Arabidopsis thaliana: one gene and its partners. The protein of the gene in region 1 interacts with the protein of each later gene in a pairwise test. Each region holds a gene or a part of one and is shown in the gene's direction. Other genes may lie near its edges.

Region 1 (5,808 bases):
AGTCTGTTATTACTTTGTTGCATCGAATCATGTGATCGTTAGTTTAAAGGATTATCACTAGGTTCACTACTTTATCATTTTCTTCATTGTAGTTTATATGACATTTAATTTTCTGTCAATTAATATGATTGAATAAAACCATTTTAATCTGTTTCTTCTAATTTTTATGAGAATCATAAATTCTTTCTTTTTAGACAGTTACTATTATTAAGAAAGAAAAAAACATGTTCTAGGGGGATGGAGATTAGACATAAATATTTTGACCTTAACGAAGTCTTTGTAAATAAATATTATACAATCAGTAATTATCTTTTAAAGGCATATTGTCTATTTATTTTATGTCTAGCTTGTATATTGCTTTGTGGTTCTATAGATTATGTGTGCAGGGATGATCTTTTTCAATTTTCATTGAGGAACTTATTGCTCACACCTTCTTTTATAGATTTAAAAGACGATTAGGAGCATAGTGAGATTTATATGGTGCCTTAGGAGGAATTTTAAAGTCATTCATTTGATAATGGTTTTCAGTTATTAGTATGACCCAAAGAAATGTTCCGTTTCAACCAAATGTCACTTAATTAGGAGGTTTAGGCCAATACCAATTAATGTCGTTGATGTTTCTTACAAAATTGTAAGTTTCTTGTTGACTTTTTGAACATGCACAAAAATGATTAAAATTGTGAAGATCCACTCTGTATTAAATGTTTAAAATTACATCGAAAAATGTGAAAAGGGCCCATCTTTTATACTATTTGGCAAAGTTTTGATTAATCATAAGGTTGTAGCTTTGAACGTTTATTTGTGAAAATAAAACGAAACAAAGAAACTATATCAACCAGTAATTATCTTTTTTTCTTTTTAATATGATCAGTAATTATCTTTTAATTTCATCACACGAAAAACTTAATAATGTTTGATAAAAATCTCACAAACAACAAAGAACGGAACTTTTATTCGATCGAATCATTTTCATTATTGCCATCACACGTTCACAAGACAACAAAGAACAACTCTCCAAGTTACACACACACATACACATTTGACATTTCATTCACTACTCTCACACGATCCAAGAGAGAGTCTTCCGGATCTCAGACCCGACCCGACCGACACTTTCCCTAAGCGAAACTGGACAGTTATTCCGAACAGCACTGAGCTCATACGGCGATGTATCGGACGCAAGCCATTGCTCAACATCAAAGCTTTGGTACGAGCACTTTGCATGAACTCCGGCTGTCGTGACTTCCACGTAGTTAACATACCAACCGTGGTGGTCACCGGAGCCGTCAGAGGTCAGATTTAATGAACAGACTGGGCTCGGAAGACATGGTGCTTTCCCACTGAAAATGTCGAGATTACCCCTCTCGTAGTAGTTGTAACCTGGTCCCATTAAACCACCCCATGCTTCTAGGTTTCGGATCCCGATGTAGTCTCCGTATTTGTCGTAGACTCTAGCGCTTATGATCGAATCTGTACCGGCTTTGAAGGTTGATCCGGTTCTAAGGAAGAATGTGTAGACACAATCTGCTTCATCGTCCTGTGAAATCAAGAAAGTCATTTTTTTAAATGGGAAGAAACAGAAGTTTGTAGTCTAATAGTTTAAACTAATGTCATTGATGTTGTGTCATTATATACATATTCAAATCTGGTTAATGTGTGTGTCTAGTTCTAGACAAAATCATATATGAGAGGAAGCAAGTCAGATTTGGAAAACTTACGGCTAATGCGACAGCGGAGACGGTGGCGATGACGAGGAGGAGTGAGAGGAAGAGGACGTCACGGCGAGGCATCATCGGTGATATGGATGTATAAGAAAGAGAGATCTAGTCTATGGAAATATTAATAGAAATGTTGAAAATGCTAAAGTATATGAGAGTTTAGATTTCAATGATTTAATTATCGTCTGTTTTGGGAGTTGCGTATGAAGATGACGTGGTCGTTTTTGGTCCGTTGGAATGAGTAAGAAATAAGAATAAAAATACTTAAGGATCCTATAAGCACGTCGTTAACTCGGCGGACAGGTCGGCATGGGTTGTCAGATTTCGAAAAAAATTGCATATTTTTTTTTGTCACAAACGCAAATCTTCGTGAGATACAATACAAATGCACTTCATTTTTCGCCAATTAGAATGTAATGTAACAGTTTCCAGTGTAATGCTCGCAACATAACATGTTTCACGTGGATTGGGGCCGGGGAAGAATTAGAGAAACATTAATTTTTGTTTTTGCTTTTTGAAAGAAAACTTTCGACCATATGAAGGTAAGATTTCCTTTAATTTCCTTGATATTTTCATGTACATATGTTTGATTTATAAATGAAAATTAAGTGATTGTGTGTTTTTCAAAGAAAGAAAAATGAAATAAATTTTGGATAGTATTGTCAGCGAAGCAGCAACAAGGCCCACAAACATAATTTTGAATGGCCGGTTGCTGCGGATTAATGTGTGTAAATACATACATTCCGTTCATGTCAATCCCAACGTATATTCGTATATATGCATTTTTCGCTTTCTAAAGAAACAGAAGTTGCAAGAGAATTGAAATAAAAAACACTTTAATGAAAATTTGGTCCAGAAATACCACCCAAAAATGGTTTTAGTTCGAAACGTACAAAATAAAATAAGACTCGTTCATGATAAACATTACCAATATGTGCTAACCTTTTTAAGATTTTACTCATGTATGTCTTATATGCATATATAATTTATGTTAGAAAATCGATATCTTGTAAACAAAAAGTAACAACTTCGTTGATCATCATCAAATGCCATAATACTATATTATATGAGTTCTGTAATATAGTTTTCTAAATAACAGAAAAAGGGAAATTTAAGGTGAGCTGGCTAACTCTAAATAGCAAAATCTTCTCAAAACCAACCAAAAGTTTGAGTCATGCAACAACAACCACTTACTTTTCCCATGCAAACCCTAATTTTCGCATCCTCTCTTAATTCTCTCTCTTTCGTCTTCTCTGTAGACCAATCTCCACCACACATCTCGTAACTCCCACCTTTCTCCGATGGAGGGGCCACGGCGTCCTCCTTCCGCCACCGCCCCTGACTCTGACGATGACAAACCCGATGATCCTCCGTCCGTTTGGCACCGTCCAACCTCTAGCCTCCCCGCATTGCCATCTTTAGATCCTCCATCGCACGGTTCACACCATTGGCGTAATCATTCTCTTAATCTGTCTCCACTCCCAACGACATCTTCTCCGCCTCTTCCTCCTCCGGATTCAATCCCTGAGTTAGAGACGTACGTTGTCCAAGTCCCGAGAGATCAAGTCTATTGGACCCCTCCTCCGGAACATGCAAAATACGTCGAGAAACGCAGCAAGAACCCGGAGAAAAACAAAAAGAAAGGGTGTTCTAAACGTCTTTTGTGGTTCTTCATTATCTTGGTCATTTTCGGATTCTTACTCGGTGCAATCATTCTCATCCTCCATTTCGCTTTCAACCCCACTCTTCCTGTTTTCGCGGTCGAGAGATTGACCGTAAATCCTAGTAATTTTGAGGTCACATTAAGAGCCGAGAATCCAACGTCTAACATGGGAGTACGCTACATGATGGAAAAGAACGGGGTCGTTTCCTTAACGTACAAGAATAAGAGCCTGGGGAGCGGGAAATTTCCGGGGTTGTCCCAGGCCGCATCTGGATCCGACAAGGTCAATGTGAAGCTTAATGGGTCGACCAAGAACGCAGTTGTACAACCTCGTGGATCGAAGCAACCGGTTGTTCTGATGCTGAATATGGAGCTGAAGGCTGAGTATGAAGCAGGGCCGGTCAAACGGAACAAGGAAGTGGTGGTGACTTGTGATGTTAAGGTTAAGGGACTATTAGATGCGAAGAAGGTTGAGATTGTGTCGGAGAATTGTGAGAGTGAGTTCAAGAACTGACACTCGCTCTATATATATTTTATATATAACATGATTGTGTCGTTAGAGTTAACAATGTGCTTAATTAATTCATACTTTCTATGTAATGTTCAATTGTTCATTTTTTTTCCCTAATGTCTTTGTTTTTACTCTATATTGTTGAGCGACAAAAGAAAACGTGAACAAGAAGAACACAATAGAGTGAGCGTCTTTTTTTTTTTTTAAATGTACCTTTGCTTTTACAAATAAATTTAGTTTAGCCCAGATTACAAATAAACAGACTAGTCAGAACTTCTTAAAAACAGAAGATATAATTGGGCCTAAATGCAAAAGTAACATTTCACCTCCTAAGATTTTTCCTAGACCAAGTGTGTACAAGCAATACTCCGAAAACTTGATGGGATCATTCCCTCTTTTTTTTTTCTTTTTTTTTTTATCATTCTCTTTTTGATAAGATCATTCTCATTTCTCAGTGTTGTTAGTTTTATTATAGAAATGTAACTTACATTTTGGGAATAAGTGCCGTCTGTACATTTCTATTAGTTTAACTTTCTCTTTTTCTGTTGGAATGTAAAATTTAGCTTCAACAAAGATATTTATATTTTAATTAATAGAGAATTTCAAAAGTTTGAAAGAAAAGATAGACTTTTAAAAGAATGAAGATTGAAAAGAAACAAATAGACTTTTAGAAGAATGGAAGTTGAAAAGAAACAATCTTGATCAGTACTTCTTCCTTCGAGCCAACATCTAATGAGGTCGTGAAGACAAGTCATATTAAAATATAGGTGCGAGGAGACCCGATCTGTTATTTTGTCGATCACTAGAGCTGACGGTTTACTGTTTCGTACGGTAAAAATTGAATATAGTCATTACACTATCGCTCACAACAAACATAAGAGATAGAAGCTGAGAATTTTGATAGTGCCATTGACGAGGTGGGGTTGCATATGCATCCAATCAGGAGTGAGATGCGAGCTTAGTAGAGGACCACCAACTTAAGGCCACGTTTTGAAGGAGAAAGGACTCATAAAAATATATGATCTTTGGCTTCGTCGAATTCGCCATAGTCCATAGAGGTACTTGTCTGCGAATGCAACTACCCGTTTAGAGGCGAATGTGTTAATAAACGGAAATGCTTTGCGAGAATCTGGCCTCACCATCTTATTGTTCAATAAGTGGAATGTATTAATAAGAAAATACAAATTATGAAAGTTTATACAAAAATATTTTTATATTTCACCGCAGATTTCAAAATGCAATGTTCTTTTTTTTTTGTGCGCTAGTTATTTTAAATATACTTGATTATTTTAAAAAATCGAATATACATAAAGAATCATTTATTCTATACCCCTACCATCTACCAAGAAAAGGTTGAGTGGTCATTTTCGCGAAACCACAGTGGAGAAACAATAATTGTGTATAAAGATATTCCACTAGAAAGTGAAACAAATAGGTCCAATTATTTATTAAGGGCACCTTTGGACCATTTTCACAGTCCTAATTATGACAACAATATTGTTATCTTCTAGCAAGAATATAAAAAGACAAATTTTATAGTTTATTATAAAATGAATTCTTCATTTCGGGTAAAGGTTGGATATATAAAATTGTATAGAAACCAGTAATAATAGTTAGGATATCAAAGAACTATTTGATGTATGATGTTTTGCAAGACACTATATTCATTTATTCTATTTTTTTTTGTGAGCGTACCAAACAAATCAAATTAAATACTATTTTATGTATGATGTTTTGCAAGAGACTATATCATTCTAAACTAACTAGCTAATATTGAATTTCACACATTTTGGGATGAGCGCAGTATCCAACTCTATTTAATGCTTTAAAATTTAAACATTTGCAATCTTGATGTAAAATACAAACATTCTTTTATCATATAATTCCACATGGTCGGTTGGTTGGAACGCACGCCT
Region 2 (7,750 bases), on another chromosome or scaffold:
CTGAAAGGTTAGCTATGAAACTACGATCCTTTCTATATAGATTTTGGAAGTTCGGATACATTAGACTTTGATCTCTTAAATGTTTATGAACCCTGATGTTTATTAGATTGTAACCACATTTCTTAATACATTTTTTTTGTCAACACCACATTTCTTAATAGCTATGTTTCATTTACTAACATTCTCTGCTTTTGTGTTGCATAAATTTTTTGTAGAACATCTCGTTGGATTGAAGAATGCGAAGAAGAGGAAGCTCAAGAGAAGCATTCTAGCCTACAGTTCTTGATTCTTGAAATGTCAGGTTAGTCTTGATAGAATCTATTAGAAACCCGTATAGGAAATGTGATTAGACTTAAAGGCAAATTCACTCATTGCTAATTAGTTTTAATTTTCTAATGCAAAACCATAAAACTCAAGAAAACCAATATATTTCAACTAGCTAACTTTGCTTTTATATATGTTAAAGCCGTGAGCGGTGTAGACACAAACGGAGTGTCCTTTTTTAAGGAACTTAAGAAAACAACCGCCAAGAAGGACATCGAGGTAAAAATAGTTGTTTTCACAATCCGATTTTGTCACTTATCCAAGGAAACTAATTAGATTTTGATCTAAACTGGATATTTATTTTATGTGTGAAGCTTGTGTTTGTGAACCCTCTAAGCGAAGTGGTGGAGAAGCTTCAAAGAGCTGACGAACAAAAAGAGTTCATGAGGCCCGAGTTTCTCTTCTTAACCGTCGCTGAGGCCGTTGCGTCGCTCTCTCTTAAAGGGCCATCTCTCAGTAACGTTTAACTATAATTTTTTGTATCGGTCCAATATTGATATTTAACCGATGGTTAAATTTTTCTTTTTGTCTCTTTTTCATCTTTTAATTTCAGTACAGATGTAATATTACGTTCTTCTCTCTCTTTCTTCAGTGATGATTTTGGTCAAGATATGTTTGTATGATTTCGCCATTTTGTAGTTTACTAGGCCATGTTTAGTCTCCGAGAATAAAATTGATCTAGAATCGAATTGATATCTTAGCTAGATCAAACGGATGTATATCCAAATTATTTATGAAATAAACTGATTAAATAAAAAAATAAAAATAATATTTTTATTTAAGATAATTATGTTTTATAATATTAGAAAATATGACCAAACCATGAGCAGAATTGTGTTAAGAACTTTGCCAAGTTAGAGCTTACATTATATATCAAAAGTCAATGTGTAATTGTCAAGAGGGATAAACCGACGCGGATGAATCGAAGAAGCAATTGCTTTCAAGAAGACTTCAAATCAGCTATGTGTCTGCGATTATAATTGTGTAAACGTTATAAGCAAGAAATTTATCTCAAAATAAAACTGGTCTATAAATCAAATCGAATTGAAAATTTAGCTAGATTAAAAGATGAAATGAACTGATAACATAAACTAATAGATATTTTTAATAAGATGTTACTACTTTTGTGAAATGATAAAATATTTCTGAAGTTAATCGAATTCATTCAAAGCTATGATAACATTGTGACTTCTAGGAAAAAACAATTCTTGATACGGTCGCGGAAAGATCTTGATAACATTGTGACTTCCAGTCTTCCATATGGCATAAGGTATTCTTTTACACTAATACTTTCCCGACAACAACAACGAAAAACTCCAACCTTTTTTTAAAAGGCCACATAGAATGCATGATAGACCATCTGAAAGAAAATGGACAGGGTGGCTTAAAAGTGAGATTTCTTGGGATTGCATAGGATGTTATAATTAACCCTAGCTTGAAAAAAAAAAGACGATTAGACAATAAGAAATAGAATTTAGGTCAACTTAGTTCGGCGAATATGATCTTGCATTGCACCTTCTTTACCAATTTATAGTGATCTTTTGCTCCTTATAAGCACATGTTTAAATCACCACTACGACATTGTTTCTGTTTGGGCCAAATGCACACTTGTATTTTATCTCACAACGAGCTTATGAGAAATCAATCCTAGTAATACGTTAAGTGGCCCAAGAAGTTTTGGACCGGCATTTACGTGTATATAAAAAAATATTATGATTACTTTTAGATGAAACCACACTTAATTTCTTCTTTTTTCTTGGTAAACCACAATATCTCTTTATTGTTTTTATCAAGGATTCACAAAATTCATTGAATGGAAATTTTCATTTATGTGTGACATGTAGACAGTCAGTCCACTCTAAAAAATCTCAGTCAATTTCGTAACAAATTCATAACCTATTTCAAACACAATTCATAACCATAACTTATAAATACTACATAAATGATATTTCTTTATATCATCTTAAATGGTACATAAATTAGGGGAAAGCTAAGATATATATAGTATTAAAAAGTACAAAAATAGATAAGGTTTATAAATGTTTAAAGAAGTAATAAAATAGAAATAAGAACTAATTAGGTCGTCATGTGTTTGCTGTATAAAAAGCTGTAAAGGGACATCTCTCGTAAATCTAAAAATCATCAAATCTTCTCCTTCTCTCTCTCTCTCTCACACACTCACTAGCTTCTCTGTTAAAAGCTTCCGTCATCACATAGAGAACAGAGACTGACACTAACTCACTTCCTAACGGTTTCCACACTCAAAATTACACTTTTGCCACTCCGGCGAACAACAATATGATCACATGGCACGACCTCTACACCGTCCTCACGGCGGTGATACCACTCTACGTAGCCATGATCCTCGCTTACGGCTCAGTCCGGTGGTGGAAAATCTTCTCACCAGACCAATGTTCCGGCATAAACCGCTTCGTCGCTATTTTCGCCGTCCCTCTTCTCTCTTTCCACTTCATCTCCTCAAACAATCCTTACGCAATGAATCTCCGATTCATCGCAGCCGATACACTCCAAAAACTAATCATGCTCACTCTCCTAATCATCTGGGCTAACTTCACTCGCTCCGGTAGTCTTGAATGGAGCATCACAATCTTCTCTCTTTCAACACTTCCCAACACTCTCGTTATGGGAATACCTCTCTTGATCGCCATGTACGGAGAATATTCCGGCTCACTCATGGTTCAGATCGTTGTTCTTCAGTGTATAATCTGGTACACGCTTCTTCTCTTTCTTTTCGAATACAGAGGAGCTAAGATCTTGATCATGGAACAGTTTCCAGAGACTGGTGCTTCGATTGTATCGTTCAAAGTTGAGTCCGATGTTGTTTCTTTAGATGGACATGATTTTCTTGAAACTGATGCTCAAATCGGTGACGATGGTAAGCTTCATGTTACGGTGAGAAAATCAAACGCTTCTCGGAGATCTTTTTACGGTGGTGGTGGTACTAATATGACTCCTCGTCCGTCTAATCTCACCGGAGCTGAGATTTATAGTCTTAACACTACTCCAAGAGGATCTAACTTCAATCATTCTGATTTTTACTCTATGATGGGGTTTCCCGGTGGCCGGCTTTCGAACTTTGGTCCGGCGGATATGTACTCTGTTCAGTCCTCGAGAGGACCTACTCCTAGACCTTCGAATTTTGAGGAGAGTTGTGCTATGGCTTCTTCGCCAAGATTCGGGTATTACCCGGGAGGAGCTCCCGGGTCGTACCCAGCTCCTAATCCGGAGTTTTCTACCGGTAATAAAACCGGTAGTAAAGCTCCAAAAGAGAATCATCATCATGTAGGAAAATCAAATAGTAATGATGCTAAGGAGCTTCATATGTTTGTTTGGGGATCCAACGGATCACCCGTTTCGGACCGAGCTGGTCTTCAAGTTGATAATGGAGCCAATGAACAAGTCGGAAAATCCGATCAAGGCGGTGCAAAAGAGATTCGAATGTTGATCTCTGATCATACTCAAAATGGTGAAAACAAAGGTTTTTAACTTTTAAATTGTATTTTTTTTTGTAACATATGGACACAAATCTCAAACTGTATTTGCTTAAATTTGTAGCTGGTCCGATGAACGGGGACTATGGCGGGGAAGAAGAGTCGGAGAGGGTAAAGGAAGTGCCTAACGGACTACACAAGCTTCGGTGTAACTCCACAGCAGAGCTAAACCCTAAAGAAGCTATAGAAACGGGTGAAACTGTACCGGTAAAACATATGCCACCAGCGAGTGTGATGACTCGGCTGATATTGATAATGGTGTGGAGGAAACTCATAAGAAACCCAAACACTTACTCTAGTCTCATTGGTCTCATTTGGGCTCTTGTTGCTTTCAGGTAACTTAATCAAAAATCAACTACTAGTGGAAGTTTATTATTATTGTGAGATTTGATTAGAGTGATGATTATGGTAATTTGGATATGAAGGTGGGATGTGGCAATGCCTAAAATTATTCAACAATCAATCTCAATTCTTTCTGATGCTGGTCTTGGTATGGCAATGTTCAGTTTGGGTGAGTCATCTTTTTACTCTGTTTCTTTTTTCCGTTAACTCATTTACTTTCTTTCTATTTTTACGCCAATCAAATGTCACAACATCCACATTCGTACGGAAAAAATTGTAACTTTTTTTTGGTGAGGATTCCAATAATTGAAAATGGTTGGTATTTTTTAAGATTTTTTGGGATGGCCCGTTACGGCATGGACCATCCGACAGGTAGGGTCATTGATGCGACGTCGAATTATATAAACGGTCGTGGTGGGATGACATAGCTCGTGTTCTTGATTGTTGTCGTGGTCCCCATATTAAGTGGAAGTTGATTGGACTTACAATGTACATGAATGCATCATCATCATCATTTATTGGATTTAGATTACGTTTACATGTATTGCATCATTCAGCACTTGTTGTTTTGAGTGGAAATGAATTAACTGAAAATGTGAAAATGGTGAAGGGTTGTTCATGGCATTGCAACCGAAATTAATTGCTTGCGGAAATTCGACGGCGACTTTTGCGATGGCGGTGAGATTCTTTACTGGACCAGCGGTAATGGCCGTGGCAGCAATGGCTATTGGATTACGTGGAGACCTATTGCGTGTGGCCATTGTTCAAGTAAATTAAACTATTTTCGTTTGTTGTTAACAATCTCTTTGTAAGAAGTAGTTTAACCAAATCTTGTGGTAACGTTGTAGGCTGCATTGCCTCAAGGGATCGTGCCGTTTGTGTTTGCAAAAGAGTATAATGTTCATCCCGCAATCTTGAGTACAGGGTAAGTATTTCATATTGAACCAATAGTAAAACTTTTCTTATGCATAAGAGAAGATTACTAATATTGTTGATTCTTATGTGTATTATTGCAGGGTAATATTTGGAATGCTTATCGCACTACCGATTACACTTGTTTACTACATTTTACTCGGGCTATAAGCTCTTCAATGGAGAAGTTCTGCTTGGCTGAAGAGGATAAAGAGAAACAAGATAATTCCAAGATTAGTGGAACGCAACTAGAAAATGTAATGTAACACGAAATGTAGTAAATTTAAAGGGACCAAGATTTGATTTGAGGATCCAAAAACCCTTTTCTTGTCTATATATTTTCTAGAGATTATTTGAGAAAGAAGGTGATGGAATGAGAGAGACAAGAGGACCAAAACAAGGGAAAGCAAAAAAAACAGAGGACTAAGATTTGATTTGAGGATCCAAAAACGCTTGTATATTTTCTCTTCTTTTTTTATAAGAAGGGTAAAGCTTTGTTCATATATTTTGACTTGCAATAATTTCTCTTACTTTCTACTTTCATTTTGTTTAAAATTAGGTAGGTACGGTATTCATTTTTTGTTTGTTTTGTGTTTTGTGTAGGTTACTTCTTTCGACGAAAGTGTGTTTTTGTGGATTTTCCTTTCTCATCTAGTATACATTGCTCTCACAAAAGTAAGGACTGTTTTATTCCAATTAAATAAAGAAAATGACCTCTTAGTTAGCGATTAGGCGTGAAGATATATTACAATTGGTTTTATTTAATTTTTGTTCTTGTCTCATGACGTATATGATTATATTTATATTATAATTACATCAAAAGATATGAAATGAAGAAAATCATATGATAGAATTCGAGTAAAACCAGGAAAAAGATGCACCATTTTCTTACAATTCGGCTCTTCGTTATACATAATAAGGGGAAAATGAGTCCAGAACATCTCAACCCATTGAACTTTTAAATGAAGAAAACTAAACGTTTTACCAATTGAGTCACTTTATATTTTACTATTTTATGTTAGACATATTACTATACTAATTTGGACGTTGAGAAAATTTCTCTCTTTTTTCTCAAAAGGAATTTGTCTAGTATAACTTTAGATGCTGTTTAGACAAGTACGTCGACTTGATAAAGCTCTAGTTACCATTCAGAGCATTGGTTACCATTCAGAAGTGGGTTAGGCGCTTTGCACTCAAAACGCGGTGTCGTCGTTTTAGTAAGCTTTGTGATGTAAACACAAATTATATATAGAAAAATAAAAACATAAAAGTAATAAATTAACAAGCAGAAAGTTACTTAAAAGTCAAAAGCAAAAAATATGAAGAAAAGTAATAGCTGCTTTTTTGGTTTGTGTAAAAGTACTTTACTGCTTTTTCATTGTTTTCATACTCTTTTATTTCTAGGTATGTATGTTCTCAAATCTCCAATATAGAAAACGATTGAAAATGACCCTTTTTTAGGTGACGTAAAAAGATCATAATTTGTTGTGTTGCTGTTAATATCTTAAATAGAGTCTCCGACTATTACGCCTGATTTTGCGATGAACGAAGGACTAACCCATCCTATTTAAAAATTCTGTCAATATTTTATTGTTCACTTTCCTTATCTCTTTGAAGCTCGATTTAATTTGTAATCTAACCAGTTATGTGTGGTCAATCTGTGTGACCTTGTGTGTGTTCAACCAGTTATGGACCAACATTAAGTTTTTTTTTGGTTTTTGAATTTAATTCTACTATGAAAATTCATATTTTTGGTTGAAGTAGAAACAAGTAATTGTAGGTACTATAATATTACAGATAAATTGTACATCCCTAAGATTAAATATTGGTGGGTGGAGGATCGTTGGGTTCCGAAAATATGTGACCAATTTAAAGATCCATTGAATTAAATGTCGAAGTGGAAGGGAACATACCCAACTCTTATATAGTCCTTCTAGAAAATTGAAAAAAGGGTCTTCCAACAAATAATCTTAAATCACGGATTTGACCAGCCATTGAAAAGGTAACTAATTTGCTTAATCATCGAGATTAGTATATTTCGTTATCTTAAAACCAACATGCGTCGCATGAAAGCTATAATGAACTCCGTGCACCATGTATTTCAATATATACGACGAGAGAAGATATTTTATCTCTTGGTATTATCGAAAATGTCTTACGTAATCAGAAATCTTTATCGGTATAGTCGTCACATAAACAGATAGAAGGGGATTGTCTTAATAACATGGGGCGGAAATTCTGAAAGAAACAATATTTTATTTATTTTAGATATATAGATTTTGGTATAAGTTCTTACTAATACGTTTTTATTAAGAACTATTTTACCAATTATTTTTATCTATTATCATTTCTTCATTCCATAATTTCATAAAATTATTAACAAAAATTTAAGAATATTTTCATCCCCTAAATAGTTCTTTTTATAAATCTAATATTAAATTATATTCAGAAAAAATAAACGTTTTTACATATGAATGTAAACTTTTTTGAAAAAATTACATTAAGATTCTATCACTGATTTTGTGTCGATGCAAACGAAAGTTGAAAAAATTACATTGAGATTCTATCACTGATCCCGCGAATAATTTTATCTTAATGATTTTGAAATTCTGCTTCATATATTTTGTTTTTTAAACTTTTCCTCGATTATCTGGTTCCAC
Region 3 (9,793 bases), on another chromosome or scaffold:
AGCCAGAGACCTCTGAACATCATTCTCCAGAGAAAATGCCAAAGGTTAGCTCGAGAGTTCTTACTAAACTAATTGTGATGACTGATAGATAATGGAAATAAACATGACCTGAATTCAAATTCCTTGGTGAATCAATCCTAGTGTGTTCGAACATCAAACTAACTCTGATGACTGATAGATATGTTTTACTATTTGAAAGCTGAAAATGTGAAAGAACTCTAACATGTGCATTTGTATTAACACCTTGTTATTACTTCCATTTGTAGTTACCTAAGGAAAATCCAAAGAACCTTACAATGAGAGGCTATCAATCTGGATTTCATCACTCTCCTGCTCCATCTGGCCAAAAGATCCCACTCTACTCTGTTGCACATAGCCGGGCTGGCGATAAAGGAAACGACATAAACTTCTCAATAATCCCGCATTATTCCCCAGATGTCGAGCGTCTGAAACTCATAATTACTCCTCAATGGGTAAAGCATGTGATGTCAGTTCTGTTATCAACCTCTTCGTTTCTGGAATTGGATGCAAAACCAATGGATGAAAATGTGTCAGTAGAGATATATGACGTTGAAGGCATTCATGCTATGAATGTTGTCGTACGGAACATATTAGATGGTGGAGTCAACTGTTCCAGGAGGATCGACCGACACGGAAAGACAATCTCAGATCTCATCTTGTGTCAACAAGTTGTGTTGTAAGACTACTTTAACTTTGCATATCAGATTTTTCTATTCAAATTCTGTGGTAATATGTTAATAAAAAGGGAGACTTGAACTACACTATAGTTCTAAAAGATAATAGAAAAAGAAGGAATCGACTTAGTGGTGCTTCACTTTCTTTTACTTCTATACATTAAAATTACTTTAATTTACAACTGGATATCTTGATAGATACGCATACAGATAAGTATTAAAAGCATTGTTTTGATTGAGAGAGAATGATATTATATATTTGTGTAATGTTAGGTTGTTGTTATATTCTTTTGCAGGATCTGACTGACATGGGTTGCACCACCTCAGAGACAGTTGGCTTAAAGTAACAATCCCTTATTGGATTGAAATTGTCAGAAACCACAACCCTTCTTTTGCTCAACTCCAATCACTTTGCCACCCAATTTTATCTCATTCATTTTGCAAAAAAGATCAAAGAGAGAGAGAGAGAGAGAGAGAAAGAAAAAAAGGAAAAAACCTTCCTCCGTTACAACCTCACAATTGCAACAAAGTTTCATATAAAAGAGGACAGAAATTTCGCAGGTTCCTCCGTTGTCTGAGGTAAAGGTTTCCTTCTTTAACTAATTCCTCAGATGACCTCTTGATTTGTTGGAAAAAAAATTAAAAAATCTGTTTCATACAGGATCTTGGAGAAGGAAGGAAACAACAACAACCAAAAAAAAACCAAAAAAAAAAAAGATAAAACAAAAAAAATGTCTTTCACAGGAACTCTCGACAAATGCAATGTTTGTGATAAGACAGTCTATGTGGTGGACATGTTGTCCATTGAAGGAATGCCTTACCACAAGTCTTGCTTCAGGTGTACCCATTGCAAAGGAACCCTTCAGGTGCACTCATTACTCATTTTCTTGTTAGATCTTCTATGATCATATTATATCAACAATTTATCTATGTGTTGATGGCAGATGAGCAACTATTCCTCCATGGACGGAGTTTTGTACTGCAAGACTCATTTTGAGCAACTCTTCAAGGAATCTGGCAATTTCAGCAAAAACTTTCAACCAGGTTCGTATTATAAAATCTCTGACATCGAATCTCTCTATCTTTCAAATCATCATGATCATAACAAGTCTCTTTCTTTTCTCAGGAAAAACTGAGAAGCCAGAGCTGGTAGGTTCATCATTACATGTCCTTGTATATGATTAGCGTGTCAATATTTCATTTTCTTTCTTTTATGATCGACTAATAGGATCTGTGTACTGATTTAAACATTACAGACTAGGACTCCCAGCAAGATATCTTCCATCTTCTGTGGAACACAAGACAAGTGTGCCGCTTGCGAAAAAACTGTTTACCCTCTTGAAAAGGTTAGTGGTATACGCATCTGCAAATGTTCTCATGGCCTAAAATACCAACGAACTAGTCTCGTAGAGAAATTTATTTGCTCTAGAATTTGTTTTTTGTTTTTTCATTTCCGTAGAATTTTTCTGTTCGGATAAAATCATTACTAGATCAAATGGAAATAAAATTTTGATTTTGGTTTGGTTTAGTATACTTTTGGTTCGATTTGAGAACGTGATGTTGGTTGGTCCAAGCAAATGTGGAATCAATTTTGGCTTGGTTCTAATCGGGTTATTTGGTAACAGATACAAATGGAAGGAGAATGCTTCCACAAGACATGTTTCCGGTGCGCTCACGGTGGGTGTACGCTGACTCACTCCTCCTACGCCTCCTTAGATAGCGTTCTCTATTGCCGACATCACTTTAACCAACTCTTCATGGAGAAAGGAAACTACGCTCACGTCCTCCAAGCCGCCAATCACCGTCGCACAGCCTCAGGCAACACTCTTCCACCGGAACCTACCGAAGACGTCGCCGTGGAGGCCAAGGAAGAGAATGGCGTTTCAGAGTCTTGAATATCTCTTACATGAGTGTTTTTGAGTGAATGATTGAATGAATGTTGTTGCGGGGGAAAGATTTGATTTCATTTGTAATGAGTTGTTTCCATATGAAGACATGATTTTTTTTGTTATTTTTTTAATTCATTCGTTATACATTTATTATTACACACGAAAAAAAGGCAAGAATTGATGTTTTTTCACTCTATGTGTGCTGCTTATGATATGCTTTCCGATGGTGATGATGATATTCGATGTAATATCTGTTCGGTTCAAAGATACCAAACTACTTATATACCGGATCAAACCAAGTGGTTATCGGGTGATGTGAATCATTCATTATTTCGTTAGGTGAGAGAGGGTGTTTTCGTAAAAGTATCTAAAAACGGCCTTAGCAATGATGTCTGGTTGGCGAGAAACTCAAAAAGGAGGAGACAGAGAAAGTTGTTTGACTGGGAAAATTTGAAGAGACGAGCCAAAATTATCTGTTTGAAACGAACGGAATTGAAGACGAGAGCCACTCCTTTCCGTTTCCACCTTTCTTCCATTCTTACTCAACTTTCCATGATTGGTTAGCCTCTCTATCTGTCCGTGGCTTGTCGTTGATTTTTTTTATCTTGGTCGTCTGAATGTGTGGAATTTCGTTTTGCTTCACAGGAGTTGTATATAAGGTTCGAGGAATAAAGTAAGGCTACTTTTTTTATTTGATTTCCGATATGGAGTATGCGTCTACTTTTCAAAGGCCGATTCTATTCCATGGTGGAGATGGTGCGAGTTACTGCTTTCCAAATCGATTGATAAGTCCTAAAGGAATCAGCATTACATCTGGGGATTCTAAAGTGCATTCGTGTTTTCGATTGAGGAGAAATGTAGCACAAAGTGGTACATTGAATTTGATGAATGCGTGTTTCTCTGGAAGGTTTTATAGTGGTCATTTGCATTCTACAAAATCAATACTTGGCAATGGCCACCAAGCCAAAAGAATCCCTTTTGGATTTAGGTTACGTTGTCAGGGTCATGAATCTCTGGGTAATGCCGATAGTAATGATCATCGGATCGGGGAATCTTCCGAAAGTAGTGATGAAACTGAAGCTACAGATTTGAAAGATGCGAGAGTGGAAAACGACACTGATAGTTTGGAGGAACTCAAGGAGTTACTACACAAGGCAATTAAAGAATTGGAAGTTGCTAGGCTCAATAGTACCATGTTTGAGGAAAAGGCTCAGAGAATCTCAGAAAGAGCCATAGCACTCAAGGATGAAGCTGCTACTGCTTGGCTTGACGTAAACAAAACCCTTGATGTCATTCGAGATACTGTTTATGAGGAGGCTCTTGCTAAAGAAGCTGTTCAAACGGCTACTATGGCCCTGTCTCTGGCTGAAGCTAGGCTTCAGGTTATAGTGGAATCACTTGAAGCTGGTGCAGGGAATGATATTCCACATGTGTCTGAAGAGACTGAGGAAACAATAGATGTTAATGATAAAGAAGAAGCTCTTTTAGCTGCCAAGGATGATATTAAAGAATGCCAAGTTAATTTAGATAATTGTGAGTCCCAACTGAGTGCTTTGCTGAGCAAAAAAGACGAGCTGCAAAAGGAAGTGGACAAGTTGAATGAGTTCGCTGAGACAATACAGATCAGTTCGTTGAAAGCCGAGGAGGATGTTACCAATATTATGAAATTGGCTGAACAAGCTGTAGCATTTGAGCTTGAGGCTACTCAACGCGTTAATGATGCAGAGATTGCTTTACAGAGAGCAGAGAAGTCTCTCTCCATTTCTCAGACCCCAGAGGAAACTCAGGGCCAACTCTCGGATGAAGAAACTTCTCAGGAGGATGCGATGGTACTTTCAGGTAACGTTGAAGATGTTACCCATCAGGTTGAAAAAGAATCACCTAAAGATGGAGATCTACCAGTGGTACAGATCACAGCTGAACTTGTGCCTGATATAGTTGGTCAGAGGAATAAAAAACTAACTCAGCCTTATGAGTCAAGCGATCATGAGAATGGAAAGCCAAGTGTAGAGTCTTCTAAAGTGGTTGAAGCAGATTCTGAAAAGCCAAAGATTAATGTTCAGACAAAAAAACAGGAAACTCAAAAAGATCTGCCAAAGGAGGGTTCCTCTCTTAATTCTCCCAAGGCATCGTTTAATAAATCCTCCCGTTTCTTTTCTGCATCTTTCTTCTCTTCTAATCCAGATGGGACCGCGACAGTGTTTGGTAGTCTGGTTGGTTCTGTCAAACAGCAATGGCCCAAACTAGTTCTTGGGCTTGCTCTTCTTGGAGCAGGGTCAGTTTGAAAATTTACTCTTCTTTGCTTCGAGTTTTGAAGAATCATTTTTGTACAGAAAGTTCTCTTTTTGTTGATACGAGCTTCTTATTCGTTCCAGACTGACATTATACTCCAATGGAGTAGGGGGGAACAACCAGTTGCTTCAACAGCCAGATGTTACCAGCACTAGTACAGAAGATGTCTCTTCAAGTACGAAGCCACTGATCCGGCAAGTGCAGAAACTTCCCAAGAGAATTAAGAAACTACTTGAGATGATCCCTCACCAGGAGGTATGAACAATTGTTCTTGTTTTTTTTTTTCTTTTACGAAGTGCAAATTGTATGGAATGTACTTTGCAGGCTGAAACTTTCTGCAATTAATAGGTCAATGAGGAAGAAGCTTCCCTCTTTGACTTTTTGTGGTTACTGCTAGCAAGCGTCATATTTGTGCCTCTATTTCAGAAAATTCCTGGAGGTAAGTAGTATTTTTTTTTCTTCTTTTGTTAATTCTATCCATTGCATTACTATTTGTTTCCCCTTTCCCTCAAACTCCTACAATTTCTATGTTCTCATCAGTCAAAAACATTTTCAGTTCTGGTCTCGCAATCATGTTGCATAGAGATTTATGTGCCATCTTGATGGCTTCATCTGCTGCAATGTATAGGCAGCCCTGTTCTTGGGTATTTGGCAGCTGGAATTCTGATTGGTCCGTATGGTCTTTCGATAATCCGTAATGTGCACGGAACCAGGGCCATCGCAGAATTTGGAGTAGTTTTCTTGCTTTTCAACATCGGCCTTGAGGTATTATTTGATATATGTGTATGCTACCTTTTTGCTTTTGAACTGTGTTTGGTAGAAGAGCCAATATTTTGTTTATTTCTTTGACAGCTATCTGTTGAAAGACTGAGTTCCATGAAGAAATATGTTTTTGGATTAGGCTCAGCTCAGGTGATTTAAAGATCCGTGTATCTCATTCCACATCATTTATCAACTACAATGCCTACATGCTTGATGTTTCTTTTTCCATCTACTTTAATCTCTACTTCTATTGCTGTAATCTAGGTTCTGGTGACGGCAGCAGTAGTTGGATTGCTTGCCCATTATGTTGCTGGTCAGGCTGGTCCAGCAGCAATAGTGATTGGAAATGGCCTGGCTCTGTCGTCCACTGCTGTTGTCCTTCAGGTAACATTTTTGGTTGTATTCAAAAAGGGATCTTAATTAAAGGAATTTTGTAGCATCCCCTTAATTTTTTTTTTAATGCAATTACGCTACCAGTTGGTTGAACAGAAACAATGCACTTGGTTTTCAGGTTCTACAAGAACGAGGCGAGAGTACATCTAGACATGGAAGGGCTTCATTTTCCGTCTTGCTTTTCCAGGTTTGTTCAGGAAAAAGTTAATTATATACGACAACTATGCTGGGCATTTCTCATCAGTTTGTTATTTTTTCTTCACAGGATCTAGCTGTAGTTGTTTTACTGATTCTCATCCCACTTATTTCACCTAATTCATCGAAAGGAGGGGTAAGCTCATCTCTAGGGTTCCTTCTTTTTCTTGAGTATGGCTTGCTTTTCTGTTCGATAATGTCTAAGTAAGAGGTTTGATAACGTCTTTGGTCTCTTAAGAAGAAACGTTGTGGTCATATGTTGCTATTACTGGTTGAAATTGCTGGTATGCCAGATATTTCTATATACTCAAGGAAGTCTAGGAAATATCAGTGGTCGCAAAATGCTAAGTTTCTACTGCTCTTTTCAGATTGGATTTCAAGCCATTGCTGAAGCTCTTGGGCTTGCTGCAGTCAAAGCAGCAGTGGCTATTACTGCAATAATTGCTGGTGGCCGTCTAGTGAGTCTCAGATACTTTAACTTTTGAGGGTTCAGATATCAAAATAAGTTAATTATTACCAAAGTTGTTAGGTGAAATGTTTTAGATTTGCTACAAAAGGAAGAGGCATGTTTCCATGAACTAATCATGAAAGTTAACTGTGCTATCACTGCTACTTCCGGTACTCAATTTATATGTTTCAATGGAGTTATAATATAAGGAATTTACACTCTTGTTGCATATAGCTTCTTCGACCAATCTACAAGCAAATTGCAGAAAATCGAAACGCCGAGATATTCTCTGCCAACACGCTTCTCGTTATTCTTGGGACTAGTTTACTGACAGCTAGGGTATGACCGTGACCTTGTTGGCATTGAGTAGTTTACTGACATGCCAGTACTTCCCGTCTGCTAATTTTTCCAGTTTCTATAAATCAGGCTGGACTTTCCATGGCATTAGGAGCGTTTTTGGCTGGTCTACTCCTTGCAGAGACAGAATTTTCGTTGCAAGTAGAATCAGATATTGCTCCATATCGTGGTCTTCTGTTGGGACTCTTCTTCATGACGGTAATATGAGTTTCCTAATAACTTTTTCCATAGTTTATCATTTCTGAAAAGAATGAGGAACTATAGATGGAAAAGGAAACCTTTTACTTGTGTTCTAGTAAGATCCTGATATTGTTGTCAACTGTAAGCAAACTAACAAAAAGAGTTCCATTGATTTCAGGTTGGAATGTCAATTGATCCGAAATTACTTCTCTCCAACTTCCCTGTCATAGTGGGAACTTTGGGACTCTTGATAGTGGGCAAAACTATGTTAGTCGTGATTATGGGAAAATTGTTCGGCATATCAATAATATCTGCAATTCGGGTCGGTCTACTATTGGCCCCAGGCGGAGAGTTTGCATTTGTTGCTTTCGGAGAAGCTGTTAATCAGGTTTGTTATCAACATGGCGTATTTTTTTGCTTTTTTCCAATGAGGTATATAATCAGCAATGTTGTTTTAATGGTTTACCCTTACACATTACATATATTTCTGTCAACTGTTTTTCCCTAGAAGGCCTAATCTGTGGTTCTTCCAGGGTATAATGTCTCCTCAGTTATCTTCGTTGCTATTCCTTGTCGTGGGAATCTCAATGGCTATCACACCCTGGTTAGCTGCTGGTGGCCAGTTAATTGCATCTCGTTTTGAGTTGCATGATGTTCGAAGTTTATTGCCCGTCGAGAGTGAGGTAGGAATCTTAATGATTCAAATATAGAATTTACCTCTATTAGGCAATAATTTATCAATCATGGAACCACTTGTAGCTCACACATTCTCTAGTTGAGGAAATCATTACAAGGCCGACTGATGAGAATTTTTCTTGTCTGATTTTATTTGCAGACAGATGATTTGCAGGGTCACATAATTATTTGTGGATTTGGTCGAGTTGGTCAGGTTTATATATTATCTGAACTTCTTCAGTTTATGCTCTTATATGAGAACCTCTCTGTAGACATTCAGCTTCACATGATAGCTCGAAGTTTCTAACCTCGTGACCATTTTCTGTTTGTTAATTGTAGATAATTGCTCAACTTCTCTCGGAAAGACTTATCCCATTTGTTGCCCTTGATGTCAGCAGGTAACATAACATTGCTTATTCTTTGCCTCTATTGTTGAAGAATCTTTGTGGGCTAAAGTGGTTTCAAATATTTTGTTCTCGTATCGAACCGAAAATGTGGGGACTATCAGTAACTTCCACACTCAATGAGATAACATTTCAACCTATCTGATTTATAAGTCTTTTTTCAAGACTCTTTGTATTGCACCAACCAGTTTCCATACCTCTTCCTCGCATGCTATGCTTACCTGAAAACCTCCTTTTTTTTACAGTGATAGAGTGACTATCGGGCGTTCCTTGGATCTTCCTGTTTATTTCGGAGACGCTGGTAGTAAAGAGGTAGGTACACACAAAAACAGAAAAATATAGATTACACCAGCATGTGAATATTACTTCACTTGTGTGAACAAACAGGTTCTCCACAAAATTGGAGCTGGGAGAGCATGTGCTGCTGTGGTTGCCTTAGACGCACCAGGAGCAAACTACAGATGTGTTTGGGCTTTGAGCAAGTTTTACCCCAATGTCAAAACTTTTGTCCGTGCTCACGATGTTGTTCATGGTCTTAATCTAGAAAAAGCCGGTGCTACTGCAGTAATACTCACAGACCCCTTCACTCTCATCTAGACTATAGATATGCTTTGTCAATCGTACACTAATAATACCTCGATCACAAAAACTTTTAGGTTGTCCCGGAGACTCTGGAGCCTAGTCTACAGTTGGCAGCTGCTGTTCTTGCTCAGGTAAAACATAAATGTTTCCTTATTTAGTTGAAGTAGTAATCCTAAACAGTGTATGATCATTTTTTGGGTTGAAACATGTCAGGCAAAATTACCGACATCGGAAATTGCAAACACGATTAACGAGTTCAGAACCCGTCACTTGTCTGAACTGACCGAGGTGTGTTTCATTGTCGATATATCCATCTATATTTATCAGAATCTGGTTTGGTCTGATTGATGTGTATTGGGAAATGGTGTAATGATAATGGCAGCTATGTGAAGCAAGCGGAAGCTCTCTAGGCTATGGGTACTCTAGGACGAGTAAGCCTAAACCTCAACCATCGGATGCATCTGGCGATAACCAGATAATCGAAGGAGGCACAGTCGTAATCTGATGACGTTCTCCATTCTGGTGAGAAAAAGAAGAGTATTTCTCCTTTGGTGTTCTTCTTAAACCACCATCACCAACTTGGGTTGCAGTGCGTGGTGAAGTGATGGATCCATCAGATGATGTGTAGTGTGACTAATATATTCATTATATGTTCAGTACATATCTCTCATTTAAGTCTTTGATCTCAGAACAATTAGATTTGAACAAATGCGTAGCAATCGATTCTCGGCGGCAGTAATAACAAATGAAACTACATCCCGTTCTTGTACTACAGATGTGAACACCTTGCAGTTGTTGGTAAAAGACTGAATGGGCCTTCTTTTCTTTGACTTCGACTGAATGGGCCTTAAATACAGTTGGTTTTATGGTCCAAACAAGATTTACGTAATTGTTTGACCATCGATCATTACAAAACAAAAT
Region 4 (7,128 bases), on another chromosome or scaffold:
TAGTCCTTAGCTTCTATATGTTGGTCTGCTTAATGTTTTGGTCGAGTCTTACTAATTTGTTAATTTGGATTTGTTAGGTCGGATCCAACTGAAAATGACAGTGTCGAAGGTTTAAGGCCCAATGCTAGAGGCCCTGGATTGGTTACTTTTGGGGTAAGTAATTTTCTTGTGTTTTAATTTTATGTTGTCTGAATTTCGTTTTTCCTCCCTTCAGAAAACCAATAATCTCTTTCTTTTCTCACAATATTTATTCTGTGCAATGAGGTGCTGCTATTGTTAGACCAAGAATATATGATATTTTTTTCTTGAAACCAAGGAATATAGTCTAGTTTGCTCCCAATAATTTACCATATGAAGAAGTGTTAATTGCTTTTGCTTTTCATTTTTACCTGTTCTGTTACTCACCAAAACTTGGCAATTGTAGCCTGACCGTGTCATGGAGTTCTGCAACAACAACGATCTTCAGTTGATTGTACGAGCACACGAATGCGTAATGGATGGATTTGAGCGTTTTGCTCAGGGGCATTTGATAACGCTCTTTTCTGCTACAAACTATTGTGGTATGTACATGGACTCACTAAGTGCCATAACCGGATTTTGATATTTTGATGGGGTTATTTCTGTTTTCTTAATAGTTTTTATACTAAATCTCAGGTACTGCAAACAATGCTGGGGCTATCTTGGTACTAGGGAGAGATCTTGTAGTGGTACCTAAGCTCATTCATCCGTTACCTCCAGCACTTTCATCGCCTGAAACTTCACCAGAAAGACATATAGAAGACACATGGATGCAGGTTCATATTGCTTCATTTCATTACTGAATCTTAGTCCATAGTTATTGACCTGAAACATTGGTACTTAGCGTAGTATGCACTTTTCGCAGGAGCTGAACGCAAATAGGCCAGCGACGCCAACCCGAGGACGCCCACAAAATTCAAATGACCGAGGAGGTTCTCTGGCTTGGATGTGAGGCAGATAAAGAGGCACTCGTGCACATACATACCGCTCCAAAAAACACTTGTAACATCTGCCTCCTGGTGTTCCTCATGTGTACAGAAAAAGATGAGCCATAGACGAGAAACGATGAGGCTTGAAGATATCAGGGGGTGTGTAAATTAAGATGTTAAAAGGTTAGAGAAGTCAGTTTTGGTGGTGGTTTAGTAGTGATTTGTAGAGTTTATTTGTCCGGGCTTTAGTCCTCTCGTTCATTTTTATTCAGTCTGCTGTTTCTTCTTTTTTTTTATCATGTCATATCTTTCTTTTTTCCTCTTCAATTGTCTCCGTTGTTTTCGTTTGTGGTATAGTTTTTTGGCGAGTGGGTATGAATTCTTAGAATGGTAATGGTTGATTAGGTGGAGGATGGTCTGATGTCGTGGGGGGGGGGGGCTTTTGTGTATTTTAATTTTATTGTCAGTTCATACTTTGTAACATTTGTGTTGATTATATGATACGAAAAATTTTCCTGGCTCCTTTTGGTTGTCTAAGCTAGACCAAAAAAGAAGAGAAAAGAAAGAACTTATGCCCTTGAAAGCGACTTTGAGTTGGTTCATGGATCCTCGGGTGATGGACTCAGTCACTCGATTTGCTTGAGATTCATAAATTTATACATGTGCTTTGTGGCCTTCAAATGAAACACTGGTGATGTCGATATGATGTGATTTGGCATCGATGCTGTCATTGGCTCCAAAAAATCATGTTTTAGCGGTGAGAACAAAAAAAACAAAATTTTTGGAGGATCAGATGGTTGAAGTTAAAACTCGAGGGTATTAGATGGTTAAATTTTAATATTGTTTTGGATATAGGATGGTGATTAAAAAAAAAAAGTTTTGATTAGTGTTGGTGCAGGAATTAGCATCTCCGATAATACCAATTTAAACCAAGGAATAACGTGAATAAAATCGAGAATTCGATTGAACCGGGGTATCCCGGCTAGTCTGTTAATGGGCCTAAGTCATGAGCTCGCCAGAAGATTTAGGTCGACAGTCAAGATCGCCATAGGCGGCTTCTCAGGTCGTGTAAAGGGAAAACTTCCATTTAAGAGAAGAGGATCTCATGAAGAATAGAAGTAATGAAGATTTAGACCTAAGATAATTAGAAGTTTATCATATTTTGGTATGTTGGACCCATTGTATAAATAGGGGGGGGGGGTCAAGCCCTCTAAGAGGATCATGACCAACCTAAGACAAGAGACTACTATTACAGAGCAAACTCTAGCTTTTTATTCAAGCAACTTTGTTCTTCTCCTTTGATTATTCGTGAGCTAAGAGAGAAGTGAATTTGTCTAAATCCCTTAGTACAAATTAATTGTTTGATTAGAGAATCAACAATTAGTTTTGAACCTGATGATGTATTGGTCAAACTTGTAATCATCGCATCTGAGTTTGAGGTCATTTTTTCCAACTGTTGTTATACATATAAAATATCCAAAGAATAAAAGCCTTGTACGATCGGGGTATTGGGGTCCGTACCAACTTGTTGACATTTTTTATGTTTTTGGTGTGTGGCAGACTAGATTGAAACAATAATGACTAAGCAACTCAGTAAGAGTCCTTTTTTTGGACTCAGTAAAAGAGTCCAAGTTTTCTTTGAACAACAAAATTTTGTTGAGGTGTGTATGCACTTGGTTGGGAACAAACAAGTAGATGGCAAAGATCATTCGAACATTGGAGCCCAAGTGTTGAGGGCACTAATCTTGTCGATTACAGAAACGAAATTATTTGGGGAAGCTGCAAGAAAAAGTTTAGTTAAATCTTTTATATTCCTTAATCAAAATGTATCATGCATACACTATATACAATTCACTAAAGTATGATAGTTAAATACCTAATTAATATCATGATCAACTCCTACCGGTTCATCTAACTAATCCAGCTCAGCATAAAAACCCTCACGCGTCGCTCCAATTAAGGGGAGGGCTTAACTAGTGCCCAACTTACTGGGCTAGGTTCGACTCCGTTTTTTTATTACATTTTCCTTTTCCATTTCTTTAAGACTTTAACCCTGAAATCTCGAAGTGCAACGCACCACTAATTTTTTATAAATATTAACATAACATTTCATGAGTCCTAAACAAGAGTCTCTCTTGGTCTTTATAAATACATCGATCCATGTACATAAAAACAACAAGTCATCTTTTCTTTCTATCTGAAAGTAATCAGAGAATCAGAAAACACTTGAGAGAGCTGAGTGACCATCAAAAGGTGTTATGGAGAAAGTGAGAGAGATAGTGAGAGAAGGGATTAGAGTAGGGAATGAAGACCCGAGAAGAATTATTCATGCTTTCAAAGTGGGACTTGCTCTTGTTTTGGTCTCTTCCTTCTATTATTACCAACCTTTCGGTCCTTTCACCGATTACTTCGGTATCAATGCAATGTGGGCTGTCATGACCGTCGTTGTTGTCTTTGAATTCTCCGTAGGTTCGTCATCTAGTTTCTATCATTTGAATATGTCTAGTAGATATATCTAGGGAGAATGCAAGAATTTTTGTTGTAAACTTTTGGCCATAATATTAAATAACTTTGGTTTGATGTGTACTTAGGGGCTACACTTGGGAAAGGACTAAATAGAGGAGTGGCAACATTAGTAGCAGGAGGACTAGGAATTGGAGCTCATCAACTAGCAAGATTGTCGGGTGCAACAGTGGAACCTATTCTTTTGGTCATGTTGGTCTTTGTGCAAGGTAAACCCTTATAACACTCTTTACATTTTCAGATTACCATGCGTTTCCAAGCGTTTGGTCAATCATTGTTTGGCTAAAGACTAGATCAAAGAAGATTGGGCAATGAGTAATTAGTATTGTGATATATGTGCAGCTGCGTTGTCGACGTTCGTAAGGTTTTTCCCATGGGTAAAGACAAAGTTCGATTATGGGATATTGATATTCATATTGACGTTCGCGCTGATATCGTTGTCGGGGTTTAGAGACGAAGAGATAATGGATTTGGCAGAAAGCAGACTATCGACAGTGGTGATTGGAGGAGTCAGTTGCATCCTTATCTCTATCTTTGTCTGTCCTGTTTGGGCTGGACAAGATCTACATTCTCTCCTTGCCTCTAACTTTGACACTCTCTCCCACTTCCTTCAAGGTTTTTTATTTCTTTCTCTTTTTCTTTTCCTCATTATGTCTCTACAAGAACATAAATATATACATATACGAGATAGTGAATGTGAAATTGGCAGATTTTGGGGACGAATATTTTGAAGCGAGAGAGAAGGGGGACTACAAAGTAGTGGAGAAGAGGAAAAAGAATCTTGAGAGATATAAAAGTGTTCTTGACTCCAAAAGCGATGAAGAAGCTTTGGTGGGCTACTCTCTCTCTTTCTTTCCCTACTTGCTTCACAATTATGAAATCATTTGGATTGATTTTGTTTTGATATTTTGCGTTTAGGCTAATTACGCAGAATGGGAACCGCCTCATGGACAATTTAGGTTTAGGCATCCATGGAAACAATATGTTGCCGTTGGTGCATTACTCCGGCAGTGTGCCTACAGGATTGATGCCTTGAATTCATACATCAACTCAGATTTTCAGGTAATCGCTAACTTTTTGTTAGGTGTTTGCATATTTAATTAAAACAAAATTTGAAAATACATAAAAGAAGAAAAACTAATATGCTATTATGCTATAACTATTTTTGATCTAATACAATATATATATCTATATATATATATATATATATATTTACATGTCGCAAATGCAAACACAAAAATAACATCAGGTTGAAATTCTTAGTCTGTTAATTTGTTTATATAGTTTTTTTTTTTAGTGTAAACATGTATAGTAGTATATGTTTCTGGTTAACGTGTTTCTAACCCTTTGTTTATTTCTTATTTTTTCTATTAGATCCCAGTGGACATAAAAAAGAAATTAGAAACACCATTAAGAAGAATGAGCTCGGAATCGGGAAACTCAATGAAAGAAATGTCCATTTCACTAAAACAAATGATAAAATCATCTTCTTCTGATATCCATGTCTCAAACTCACAAGCTGCATGCAAATCTCTTTCTACTTTACTTAAATCAGGCATCTTGAACGATGTTGAGCCTCTTCAAATGATCTCATTGATGACGACTGTCTCCATGCTCATAGATATTGTTAACTTAACCGAAAAGATCTCGGAATCTGTACACGAGCTTGCATCCGCTGCAAGATTTAAGAACAAGATGAGGCCGACCGTGCTATACGAGAAGTCGGATTCCGGAAGCATTGGTCGTGCCATGCCAATAGATTCTCATGAAGATCATCATGTTGTCACAGTTTTACATGACGTTGATAATGATAGATCAAACAATGTTGATGATTCACGTGGAGGGAGTTCACAGGACTCATGTCATCATGTTGCCATAAAGATTGTTGATGATAACTCAAACCATGAAAAACATGAAGATGGTGAAATACATGTACATACATTAAGTAATGGGCATCTTCAGTAAGTAATTCAACTCATTATTTGAGGAGCAGTCTTTTGTACCCGCAAGATTATAGAGACGAGACCATCGGTATATAACATATTCGGGTATTTCATTCAGATTTGAAGTTTGTTACAAATACTATTGTCGCCTTTGATCATTTTTGAACTATTGGTCACACATTTAATAAAGTCTTGGTCTTCGTTTTCCTTTGCGTTACTCTTTTAAAGATTTTTATATCCAACTGATCAAAAAATTTAAAAATAGCATGGTTTTATTTTTGGATTATGGTGTTTTAGAGAGCTAACCTCAGTAAATAAAAGAACATAGACCGGCGCCAGATAAAGACAAGTCCGGCAAAAACTCTAGATTGTTATTTTCTATGAATATAATTAATTTTATTCCAAACATATATCGTATGAAAAAAAAAATCATTTATCATTGGAGGAGGCGGTGATCAGGCGCAGTGAGAGGAGGAGTCGGTTAACAAAAGTGGTCTTGGCCAGTGCCAAAGCGTCATTGTAATCGCTTTCAATTCTCAAAACCAATACGGTAATATGCACAACTAATAGAATGTTTCAGGTGACAAATTTTCTCACTAAAGTCAAACTTTCATACTTGCCGATGAAGTAACAAACATACAGTACGTTCAATACATTAAGGATATATATAAGAAACAAAAGCTGGAAATTGTGTGAATTTAGCTAGGTTAGATTATAGTATAATAAAGTTGCCTTGTACGATTGGGGTAATGGCTAATGGATTCCGTACGTTGATGCCAACTTGGTATTGGCAAGGCTGAGTGTGACTCGGTGCAAAAAGCACCAGCTGCTATCTAATTCCGCGTTCTAACCAATACTACATTTTCATTTATTATTACTTTTTACAATCCATAAATCTCTCTGCTGTGGAGGGTTGATATAAGATCCGAAACTTCTTTGTTGATAAAAAAAAATCTAACAATCTTCCAAGTTCAAATCTCACTCAGGAAATATGAATGACTGAATATTTAATTAGATATTATCGAAATTGTGATTCTTGTTGACAAAAAAAAACAAATCTCATAAGAAGTGGTGATGTCAGTTTTCGTTGAGAGAAAGAGAATTTAAGTGGATATGTTCAATATACAAAAAAAAAAAAAAAAAAAAAATTGGACAATTTGGTCGAATATTAATAAGGTAGGTCTAAATATTAGTGAAAGTAACATATGTGAATGCCCAAAACGGACGGATATTTTACTAGCTTTGAAACAAAGAAACGATGGGACAAAATGACAAATTGAATGTCTATTTATTTGGAGTTTGTCATGATTATTCATGTCAAAAACGCAAACTATTATTAATAGACTGTTTATTTTATTATTTTCTTACACTCGCCGAAAATGTTCAGAATCGGAAATAATTAGATGTAACGTTCCTGTAAAAAATGCATTGAGTTTTAATTTTATTTTATTTTCTTAAAGATAAAAAATTTCTGTTAAATGAAAAATGAAAGAGTTGTGAATTACGTTTTTTTTTTTAATATTGATTATAAATGTACAGCTAGCAACTTTAAAAATGGTTAGAAAACAAATGTTGGATAGCACTATTTTATTTTTACATAAAGAAAATCTTTTGGACGTGGAATTTTAATAGAAATTTCGGAAATAAATTAAGAGAACAATACTAAAGTATGCTACTAATAGCCGCTTTTAAATATCGGATAAATCAGCACCAAA

The links.
Region 2: the proteins of AT2G22180 (region 1) and PIN7 interact in a protein complementation assay, tested with the Arabidopsis thaliana proteins (one large-scale study listed by BioGRID).
Region 3: the proteins of AT2G22180 (region 1) and KEA1 interact in a protein complementation assay, tested with the Arabidopsis thaliana proteins (one large-scale study listed by BioGRID).
Region 4: the proteins of AT2G22180 (region 1) and ALMT1 interact in a protein complementation assay, tested with the Arabidopsis thaliana proteins (one large-scale study listed by BioGRID).

What each region holds. Positions count from the first base shown.
Region 1 is NC_003071.7:9,425,950-9,431,757, forward strand, and holds AT2G22180 (hydroxyproline-rich glycoprotein family protein), read left to right. Parts: upstream 1-2,793; 5' UTR 2,794-3,019; coding exon 3,020-3,895; 3' UTR 3,896-4,192; downstream 4,193-5,808. Other genes in the region: PLAT2 (Lipase/lipooxygenase, PLAT/LH2 family protein), read right to left, coding at 1,061-1,537, 1,719-1,793.
Region 2 is NC_003070.9:8,178,279-8,186,028, reverse strand, and holds PIN7 (Auxin efflux carrier family protein), read left to right. Parts: upstream 1-2,378; 5' UTR 2,379-2,622; coding exon 2,623-3,823; intron 3,824-3,900; coding exon 3,901-4,171; intron 4,172-4,261; coding exon 4,262-4,347; coding exon of another isoform or gene 4,348-4,385; exon of another isoform or gene 4,386-4,788; coding exon 4,789-4,946; exon of another isoform or gene 4,947-5,026; coding exon 5,027-5,103; exon of another isoform or gene 5,104-5,194; coding exon 5,195-5,261; 3' UTR 5,262-5,840; downstream 5,841-7,750. Other genes in the region: AST91 (sulfate transporter 91), read left to right, coding at 1-7, 216-301, 467-543, 639-791. UniProt on the Arabidopsis thaliana protein: Acts as a component of the auxin efflux carrier. Mediates the initial auxin gradient which contributes to the establishment of the apical-basal axis in early embryogenesis.
Region 3 is NC_003070.9:281,493-291,285, forward strand, and holds KEA1 (K+ efflux antiporter 1), read left to right. Parts: upstream 1-2,857; 5' UTR 2,858-3,143; exon of another isoform or gene 3,144-3,229; 5' UTR 3,230-3,288; coding exon 3,289-4,859; intron 4,860-4,959; coding exon 4,960-5,131; intron 5,132-5,224; coding exon 5,225-5,315; intron 5,316-5,504; coding exon 5,505-5,641; intron 5,642-5,728; coding exon 5,729-5,788; intron 5,789-5,902; coding exon 5,903-6,022; intron 6,023-6,149; coding exon 6,150-6,218; intron 6,219-6,296; coding exon 6,297-6,362; intron 6,363-6,594; coding exon 6,595-6,684; intron 6,685-6,908; coding exon 6,909-7,013; intron 7,014-7,100; coding exon 7,101-7,229; intron 7,230-7,389; coding exon 7,390-7,599; intron 7,600-7,744; coding exon 7,745-7,894; intron 7,895-8,046; coding exon 8,047-8,100; intron 8,101-8,225; coding exon 8,226-8,284; intron 8,285-8,535; coding exon 8,536-8,602; intron 8,603-8,677; coding exon 8,678-8,854; intron 8,855-8,946; coding exon 8,947-9,003; intron 9,004-9,085; and 5 more. Other genes in the region: AT1G01770 (propionyl-CoA carboxylase), read left to right, coding at 1-44, 267-697, 992-998; PLIM2b (GATA type zinc finger transcription factor family protein), read left to right, coding at 1,427-1,561, 1,640-1,739, 1,822-1,844, 1,952-2,041, 2,321-2,590. UniProt on the Arabidopsis thaliana protein: Electroneutral K(+)/H(+) efflux antiporter involved in chloroplastic K(+) homeostasis and osmotic adjustment, especially during plastid division and thylakoid membrane formation.
Region 4 is NC_003070.9:2,655,595-2,662,722, forward strand, and holds ALMT1 (aluminum-activated malate transporter 1), read left to right. Parts: upstream 1-3,007; 5' UTR 3,008-3,205; coding exon 3,206-3,416; intron 3,417-3,538; coding exon 3,539-3,679; intron 3,680-3,812; coding exon 3,813-4,085; intron 4,086-4,179; coding exon 4,180-4,301; intron 4,302-4,388; coding exon 4,389-4,532; intron 4,533-4,844; coding exon 4,845-5,435; 3' UTR 5,436-5,716; downstream 5,717-7,128. Other genes in the region: BSL2 (BRI1 suppressor 1 (BSU1)-like 2), read left to right, coding at 78-153, 425-560, 655-794, 884-970. UniProt on the Arabidopsis thaliana protein: Malate transporter critical for aluminum tolerance. The STOP1 transcription factor is required for ALMT1 expression.